2 linked regions of the Ovis aries genome follow. The main gene of each other region encodes a partner of the protein of the gene in region 2 in a complex. Links are inferred from orthologs where the notes say so. Each region holds a gene or a part of one and is shown on either strand. Other genes may lie near its edges. The genes, in order: ARHGDIA and NGFR.

Region 1 (4,472 bases), about 14 Mb from region 2:
GGCCAGCGGGCTGGAAGGGCGGAGGAGGGACAGGCCAGCCAGGAGGCAGCCCAGGGGCAGTGGCGGCAGCGTGGGCGGGCCCTGTCAGCACTTTGGTCTGGGGTCGGGGGGATGGGGTGGTGGGGTGGGGCGCGTCCGTCCTTCCGTCCGCCCGCCCTGCCCGCCTCCCGGCTCAGTCCTTCCACTCCTTCTTGATGGTGAGGTTCCATTCCCAGGACAGGTGGTCAGTCCTGTCGTCGTCTGTGAAGCGGGACTTGATGTTGTAGCTGCCTCGAGCCAGCATGCCCTTGGGCGCCTCCTCCATGGGCGTCAGGAACTCATACTCCTCCGCCCGGGGCCCATAGCTCCCCACCATGTAGTCAGTCTTGTCAACTGTGGGGCACGGGGAGGGCGTCCGTCAGGGAGCTGAGGCGGGCCTTTCCCCGCTCCCTCCCGGCGCCCCTTGAGCCCCCGGTGGCCACCTCCCTCCTGGTGCCCCCGCACTCACTCTTCACGCCTTTCCTGTACGTGTGCTGGATGTACTTCATGCCGGACACAATCTCTCGGTTCACCTGCAAGGAGGCACACAAGCGGGGCTCAGCCAGACTCTCCAGTCCGAGCCCCCAGCATCCCCCCAAGCCTCCTCCTTACCCGGAAGGAGATTTTTATCCGATATTCCACACCCTCCTTCAGCACAAAAGACTGCTTCTTGAAGCTCTCCAGATCACCTGCGTTTGAGAGGAACGCCACACTAGGAGGTTCAGGTAGGGGAAGCCACTCCGGCCCTGGTGGGGTGCCCTGTCTGCCCCTCTACACACACACACCCCCGGCATCCCAGGCCACACCAAACACACACACCCACACACCCACACCCACACACACACCCCTTGACATCCCAGGCCACACCCCAGACACCCACACACACCCCACCCTCCAATCCCAGGCCACACCAAAGCCAGAGCCTTATTAAAATCACTTGGTTGCACTTCCTAGGCTCCCCACAAGAGGGCGCCAGCATCTCAACAAATTATTTTTAGGGGAATTAGCAGGGTGCCAGGCAGCCCCAGCGAGGAACCTGGAGATGCCACTCACCTGTCAGGTCCAGCTCCAGGGGGCCCGGGGCAGTGCTACACACCAGGGTCAGTCGGGTCACCACAACATTGGGGACATTGGGGTCTGCAGAGTGACAGCAAGTTAGAGCTCCGCCAGCAGGGGAAATAGTGGCGGACACCCAGAAAAGCGACAGGTGTCCACACACCCCACCGGGGCCCACTTACCGGCAGACACAGCCACGCGGCCCAGGAGGGCCTCCTTGTATTTGCGCAGACTCTCGTCGTCCTTGTCCAGCTCCTGGATCTCCTGAATGCTCTTCTGGGCCGGGGGCTTATAGTTGACCGAGTGCTCGTCCTCCTCGTTCTCTGCCGCAATCTGTGCCAACTGCTCGGCTGTGGGCTCCTGCTCAGCCATACTCACCTCTAGCTGGATGTGAGACACCTGTGACCAGAGTAGCAGGGGCTGCGGCAGCCTGGAGGGACCCACAGTGTGTCCCCACCTGCCCTTCTGCAGGACCTGCAGGTGGTCTGCACTGGCTCTCTGCAAGTGGCCAAACCCCCAACCTGGGCCCAAGGGGAGGTGCACGTTCTCTAACAGGAAGGCAGTGACAGCCAGAACTTCATAAAAGGCCCAGACACAGGCTCCTGAAGCCCAAAGGGGCCACTCACCTCCTCGCCCTGCCCACCTCACAGGACCTCACCCCAGCATCCAGAGCTAAATGAAAGGAAAGCAGGCACAGCTTCCCTGCTGCCCAGGAAGCAGCAGCACCTGGGTCCAACCAGGAAGCACCAGGACCAAGTGCTGCTTCTTGTTCTGAGCTGCCTAGGCCCTCTCCTCAAGGAAACCCTCTTGCTGGGTTCTCTCTGACCAGCCTGTTCCTTCAAAAACGCCCCAGCTACAAACCAAGGCCTTTGTGCAGGACATGGGTCAGTCATGTCTCCCTCCAGCCCAAACACAGGTCTCCCCTAGAGCTCAGATGACGGGGCTAGCCTAAGTCCCACAGGTAAGTCCTGAAATGGCCTAAAAGACCCTACCTGTCCGACAAACCAATCTCTAATTGTGAGGGTCTGTGACCTAGAATTTGAGAACTGCTGCAGCCATGTGATGGGTAGTCTCAAGATCCTCCTTCCGCCCGGGCCCCAGAAGAGCCCAGAGCAATGCTGTCAAAGCGAGAAGTGATGGGGCAGCCACAGGACTTCCTTCGCTAAGGATGACCGTCGCACCCCGCAGAATCCCTGAGGAGTACCTGAAACCGACTCAGACTAGACCCGGCGGTGTGGGAGGTGGGTCAGGGCCACCGGTTGCCAGTAAAGACAGCCAATGCCGGGACGTGCGTGAGGACCCGATCTTACAAAGGGCCGCTGGGGACCCGGAACCGCCCGGCCGCCACAGGCAGGGTGGGGCCGGCTCGTTCTTTCCAAGCTTCCCTGCAGCTTCCTCTGGAATTCCTCTAGAAGGCTCACGCCTTAACGTCACTCAAGCGCGGCCGCAGGCGACAAAATCATTTAAGTGCGATGGCGAGGCCCGCACTTCCGCAGGGCCTGCAATCTGGGCCAGGCGAGGCCCGGCAAGCAGGGTGGGGCGCAGGGACCTCACCTCCCAGGGGAGGAGGCGTCCCGCCTGGCCCTGGTCCGCGCGCACCAGCAAGCAGGGGGCTGCCGAGTACGAGCAGCGACCACAAAAGAGGTCTGCACAGACCCCGGCTCCCACCCCCGGCACACGCGCCCCCGCCTCCAGATCCCCGCGCCCCCGATCGCACGTGGGCCCGCCCTGCGCCCGGGGCGCCGCCCGCTGTCAATGCCGCCCCCGCCCTGCGCAGATTCCCTCAGCGGGACTGGCGGGCGGGGCGGGAAGCGAGAACAAAGGCGCGGCCCCGGCCTCCTTCCCCGCGGCCGCCTCGCCCGCCGTGCCCACCGCGCTCGCTGGCCTCGCCGCCCGCACTCACCGGAGGATCGTCCGCGCCGCTCTCGCGCTCCCTCCCGCACAGAATGACGAACGTCGCCGCCCCGCCCGCGCGCGCCCTGCCGGCCACTTCCGGGGTCACGCGACTTCCGCTCGCGCCGGGCGGGCCGCGGATAGCGCATGTGCGAGGAGCTGCCGGCAGCGCGCCGCCGCCATCTTGCGGACCGGCCTCGTGGGCGCGTCCGTTTGGGCAGCGCGGCAAAGGAGACTTGTCCGGTTGGGGCTCCTGTGCTCTTTGCCACAGGCTTTTCTTAGTCCCGGGTATCCTCAGGAGTCTGCCGGCAAGCTGAAGGGGTGGGGAAGTGAGATGGTCTCGCTGAGCGCCACGAGAAACCTGAGCGCGGCATGGTATTTCTGCGAGGTGCTGGGACGCGCGTGTGTCACGGGCGCGTCTCCGTCAGCGGGCATCTCTCCCTTCGAGGGCCCGCTGCCATCACGCCGCGGGGACGAGCCGGCACAGCCGATCCCATCAAGTAGCCGAGGTCAGCGAGTGGCAGCTGTCCGGCCTTAGGCTGCCTTCGCGCCCACTCGCCGATGTCCGCCCTCCCGGAAGTTATCGTCGAACGTTCATCCACGGGTGTCCAAATAGCTCTCTCCAGGCCTTTCCCCTTCCAGCCCAAGTCACCATGCGGTCGCCCTTTTGGGAGCTCCTAGCCCAGACGCCACCAGGCGTGGCGACTATCGGACACATGCCCACGCCTTCAACCAGCGAGGATTTTGCAGCGCCAAGCCGGGCCTATGATTTGTAGCCAGGCTGGCGGAGCCTGCGCTGCCAACGCCGGTCTAGCATGCATCTCTTCTTCCTTCGCCTCCTCCTCGCGGAGTGCAAGACCTCAAATGCTTCACACCCGAGTCATCACAAACACACACCCCTGGATTGCACGTGGTGGGGGCGTTTTAGGTCACAGAACCTAATGTGAAATACTGACCTTGGTATCTTTTGGAAATGTCTTAACTTTGGGGGAATATTTGCGAGTTTTCTGTAATGAAGAGTCACATGGTCAGCTTAACATGTAGAAAGTTGAGTTGGCCAAAGGCAGAGCATTCCAATCTTGTATTTATTCCATACACACTTTTGAGGCTTCCTGTTGGCGCACCTGAAAACTGCCCGGCTAGTCCCCGACGCACTCATCCTGCGTCCTGCTACATTGCCCAATCGCTGACTGAGCAAAAGTTTGTTTTTCGATAACCCAAGTGCTTTTTGAAAACTATCTAACTCTGTTATATTAGTCACCTATTGCTGTGTAAAAACATAACCCTGGAATTTAGCAGCTTGAAACGACCAACATACACTGTCCTTACCGAGGATCAGGGAGAGCTCCGCTCGGTGGTTCTGGCTCGTCTAGTGAGGTTGTGGTTGAACTGTGAGCCAGGGACCTGGTTTCAGGATCTGCAAGCATTCCAAGCTTATGCACGTGCTGTGGGCAGGAGGCTCTGATCCTCACAGGCTGTTGGCTGGAGGATTTAGTTCCCTGCTG
Region 2 (4,503 bases):
GCTCTGAGTGGGGGGAGTGAACGGGCTCAGTTACAAATCTGCGGTGCCAAGGGCATAAGACCAGGTCTAGTGGTGGTTCAAGACCACGTGTCCGTCCGTGATTTGGAAGGCTGGGCAGGGGAGTGTGCCTGGCATAAGGAGGAAAGAGTAAACTCCAAGCCAGGAATCCTGGGTTCCAACAAGGGCGCTACCACATACTAACTGGGGCAACTTGGTTTCCTCTCTGAAGGCCTGAGAGGTTCAGCTTTCTCAACTGTAAAATGGGAATAACTAGATTTGTTCTGCTGGGACAAGAGAAATTATCCAGGGTAGTGCGTGGCACACGGTAGGCACTCAACCAATTTTATTATTCCCACCTCTGCGCCTCCCACCCCAGGGAAGAATCTAGGCGCGTGAACGCGACCCGGCTGGCACAGCGGGGCGGGGACCCCTTCCCTCCCGGGGTTTCCTCCCCCACCCGCTCCTGTCCTCGCATTTGCTGTCCTAGTTGCATCCCTATTAGGCGCATTAGCCAGCCGGCGGCTCCGGTTACAGACGTCTGAATGACAAAGTGCCTCCATTACCGGCGCGGCCCGTCAGTCGACCCGCCGGGATGCGCTCCGGTTTCAGCACTCTCTCGCCGCGGCCCAGGAAGAAACTCGGACCGCTGCGGTGCGCAGGGCCAGCTCGTAGACAGCAGCCCCGCGGCGAGGCAGGCGCGAGAGCCGCAGGGGTGCGGGCGGCAGATTCTATGCGGGTCCACCTTCCCGAGCTCCCGGGCCCTCCATCCCCTGCTCCCTTCCTTCTCTCTATTCGGGGGACACTCTCCAGCCCAAATCCCGAGCCCACGCCCTCGCCCCTCCGGAATCCGCACTACTGGCTGCCCCAATCCCCAATCCCCGCTCCCGGCCACCCCTACCCCCGACCCCGCCCTCCGCCCCGGCCCCGGCCCCGGCCCCGGCCCCGGCCCCGGCCCCGGCCCCTGAGAAGCTTCTGTAACCCGCGGTGTTAGTGCGCAGACGTGCCCGCGGTCACTCGCAAATCCCCGGACGCAGCCACAGGTACTGACCGCCCCGGGGGGCTGTGCTGAGCTTCGGGGATGGGTCTCTGCCCATCCCAGCCCCCCTGTTCCCGCCCGCTCGCCGCCGAGACGCGCAGCTCTTCTCTGGAGCTGGGACGCCGGGCTGCCCCGTTAGACGTACGGGAGGTACCGAGCTGGCAGTCAGGTGAGGGGCAGTCTCCCTAGGGTTCTGGCTCAACTCGCTTGTGGGACCTTCCTTGACCAACTGGTTAAAACTCTCAGAGCCTCAGTCGCCTGTCTGTAAAATGGGGGGTTGGGGGCTCAGTGCTCAGAGGAGATGAAGACGGCAGGGAGAGTGAGGACGTCTCCATTGCAGAACCTTCCAGGGCACTCCCTTCACGGCCACACATCGGGTCCTGAATGTCCTGTCAGATCTACCGGGCGGACCTCGACGCTTTCTAAGTCCCGCAGTCCTTTGCCGAGATGTCTGAGAGCCTCTCTCTTGTCCCGAGCCGGGAGTCTTTCACCGAAAGCTGGGCGGGGCGCGGGCAGAACCCCGACCCCCTCCCCCCCGGTTAGCGGAAACGTAGCGAACGGTCGCGGCGGCGCTGCGGCAGGTTGACTTCACAGGGGTCCGGGTGGCGGGTGAAGCGCGCAGTCCGGGTCGCGCCAGTAGCGGCGATCGCGCAGCCTTCGCGCCGCAGCGCCCCCTGCCGGCCGCCCTCGCCGGCGCGCCCCCTCGGCGGCGCACCGCCTGGACCTTCCCGGCTCTGCGAGTCCCGCCTCTCTGCACCCCGAGAACTGGCAGCGGCCAGAACCTGTCAGACGACGCCTGCTTCGTCCCATCCAGTCCGCAGCTCTGCTTCTAACCGCGACAATAAGTGTGTAGCGGGAGCCCGCCGGTCGCTGGGGAACCGGGGAGGCGGGTTCGCCCTGGCGAGGTGGGCACTCCTTTCCCGGCCTCGGACCCCAAACCACAATTCCCCGACCGCGCGAGAGAGCGCGCGCGACACATGCGGGGAGAGTCTGTCTCTGCTCTCTCTTCTCGTCCCACTGTCTCTCGGCGGACAGGCGGGGCCCAGACCACTCAGCTCTGCTCTCCCTACTCCGTCCTCTCTCCTTTTGCTTCCCTCTCTCCACCTGCCTCACCAGCGTCCCTTTTCTGCCCTGCCTAACCCACCTCTCTCCCTTCAACAGAGGCTCCCCGAACCTCTCCCTCCCACGCCCCTCCCCCCACCCCATTGTCTGGCTGGTCTTCATTGTCCGACGCCCGGTCCCCTTGCCTCCAGTCCCTCCGTCCTCCTCCCACACCATTCTTATCTCCTCGTCTCCGGTTCCCCACCCCAACCACGCTCGCCCCTCACTTTTCTAGTTCCCGTCCCATTCCTCGTCCTTCTCTAGCCTGGGTTCCGTCCCACGACTCTCCAGAGATCAAGATGCTCAGAGGGAAAGTCGCCTCGAGATCCCGCATTCAAGCGCCCTCTTCCGAAGAACCCAGGCATCCGAGAGCCCCACGACTCTCTCCTGAGAGACCCCTCCCAGCTCCTCCACACACACCTCCTATGGCACACGAGGACCTGCTTCCGCGCGCCCCTCTTCTCCGCATCTTTACCTTAAATCTCAGAGTCGCCTCTTCGCTCTGAGAACCTGAGACGCTCCTCCGTGGATACTGGCATCATCGGAGCTCCTCTCTCGTCATCCACCGCCCCCCGCCCCACACCCGCCCCGCCGCCGCCGCCGCCGCCAGCATCTGGGACCCCAATGCTCTTTTCTGTTTTTCCTCAGGGAAACTTGGACTCATCGAGGTTTCGGTCCCGGGAAAGAGAGCGAGCTCCCCTTCCGTTAGCACTCACCCCCAGGAGCAGCAGCAGCAGCAGGCGCGGCCCGTCCATGGCGCGGCCGGCGGCACCTGACCCCATCGCCCGCCTCCCGCGGCAGCGCTCGGCTTTCAGTTCAGCCCGCTCCGCGGACCGATAGGGCTGCGCTGCGCAGCGCTCCAGCGCCAGCCCCTCAGAGCTGGCGGAGGCTCGGCTCCCTCTGGCTGCCGGCGGGAGGGGCTAGGAGAAGCCAGTGCGGCGGCCCCGCCCTCGCCCCGCCCAGCCCGCCCACCCCCGGAACCGCGCCCGCCCTCCCCGCGGTCTCCCGGAGGGGAGAGGCGGAAAGGGACCGTGCAGGGAGCCGCGCCCGTGAGCCCCGCTGCAGCTTCTCCGCACCCCGCCCTCAAAGCTTATCCCTGACCTGGTACCCGGCGCCTGACCCGCGCTGCTACGCGTCCGTCCCGGATGCTGTGGGCTCGGATTCCCTCTCTTGCGCATCTTTCCCTGCCTCTGGCTTCAGCTTCTTCCCCGGTGCCCTGCTCCCTACCCAGCCGTTATCAGCAGTAATGCTCACTGCCCGCCCCTCCTTTCATTTCCCGGTCTATACCCAAGTCCTTCTCTGCCCCTTCCCAGTGCGGGGTTGTCTCTGCAAAGGCCTAGGGGAAGGAGGGAGAGAGGTGGCAAGTGGTCTGACACGGACCACAGACAGCTGGGACGTTCAAGGAGGAGACCATCCCGACATCATTTGAATTCTCAAAAGACGGGTCTGAAGCGATCGCAGGTGTGCACACACACAAAAAGGAATACACACACTCCCGAGGTTACATACATATGTGCTTATGCAGTCGCCTATGCCCCCGCCATCCTCACGCAGTCCTGTGGACCGGTGCCTTCTGCCCATGCCTGTGCACCTCCACACATGCACACTCATCGCCCGTGTGCTCATAACATTCAAACACACGTCCTCACATACACACTCACACATACACGTGTTCGTGTGCAGTCATCTCCATGAAACCCCTCATATGTATAATCTCTCACACAGTGCACACACACACACACACACACACAGAGATATGAACACATAGATGTATCCTCAACCATTTGCCTTCATTAGACTATGTTTCCATAAGCTGATGAGCTCCCTGGAGGCAGGGACTGCGGTTTCTTATCTGGATGCCTAGTACACAGTAGGTGTTCAATGAAGGTCTGCAGAAAGAATAAAAGAGTTGAATGGACTCACATCCACGTACATCTCCAGGACCACACTCATCATGCTCTAGAAAACTTGGAAGTTTCAAATTATAGGCCCTGGCAACCCCAGGAGTTTGCCACCAGTCTTTTGGCAGGAAGCACTTCCACCTCCACCTTGATGCTCAACCCCACCTTGCCTGTCCCCACCCTTTCCTGGTTCCCAGATAGCCCTGGAGCATAGAGTTGTAGGGGGCAAGTCTATAAAGCTCATCCCCTCACCCTGAACTTGGCCAGGTGTGGACCTCAGTTTCAACTTTGAAAAGATAGCCTTACAGGAAGAAGGGAGAGAGTCAGACACTTGTGCTTAGGGCAAGCTTACTATTGGTAGGTGATTTCTCAGCTAAATCATTCATTTGTGGGAGTAAAAATTCTGCCCTGTGAGTTTCTTTCCTGTGTAACCAACAAAATCCAGTGGCTATCCCCAGAAAGGAC

The links.
Region 1: the proteins of NGFR (region 2) and ARHGDIA are in contact, whole or in part, in an NMR structure (PDB 8X8T), measured with the Homo sapiens proteins. The link is inferred for Ovis aries from reciprocal best matches to the Homo sapiens genes NGFR and ARHGDIA. Residues at the interface, in NP_002498.1 of Homo sapiens: Arg274, Trp275, Ser277, Cys278, Lys279, Gln280, Lys282, Gln283, Gly284, Ala285, Ser287, Arg288, Pro289, Val290, Asn291, Gln292, Thr293, Pro294, Pro295, Pro296, Glu299, Lys300, Leu301, Ile307, Ser308, Val309, Gln312, Ser313, Asp316, Gln317; in NP_001172006.1 of Homo sapiens: Ala8, Glu9, Leu11, Ala12, Gln13, Ile14, Ala15, Ala16, Glu17, Asn18, Glu19, Glu20, Asp21, Glu22, Val25, Pro30, Ala31, Gln32, Lys33, Ile35, Gln36, Glu37, Ile38, Gln39, Glu40, Leu41, Asp42, Lys43, Asp44, Asp45.

What each region holds. Positions count from the first base shown.
Region 1 is NC_056064.1:50,520,058-50,524,529, reverse strand, and holds the start of ARHGDIA (rho GDP-dissociation inhibitor 1), read right to left. Parts: upstream 3,023-4,472; 5' UTR 2,279-3,022; intron 2,193-2,278; 5' UTR 2,067-2,192; intron 1,474-2,066; 5' UTR 1,447-1,473; coding exon 1,257-1,446; intron 1,156-1,256; coding exon 1,072-1,155; intron 708-1,071; coding exon 631-707; intron 552-630; coding exon 488-551; intron 373-487; coding exon 173-372; 3' UTR 1-172. UniProt on the Homo sapiens protein: Controls Rho proteins homeostasis. Regulates the GDP/GTP exchange reaction of the Rho proteins by inhibiting the dissociation of GDP from them, and the subsequent binding of GTP to them.
Region 2 is NC_056064.1:36,841,948-36,846,450, forward strand, and holds the start of NGFR (tumor necrosis factor receptor superfamily member 16), read right to left. Parts: upstream 3,040-4,503; 5' UTR 2,920-3,039; coding exon 2,854-2,919; intron 1-2,853. UniProt on the Homo sapiens protein: Low affinity receptor which can bind to NGF, BDNF, NTF3, and NTF4. Forms a heterodimeric receptor with SORCS2 that binds the precursor forms of NGF, BDNF and NTF3 with high affinity, and has much lower affinity for mature NGF and BDNF.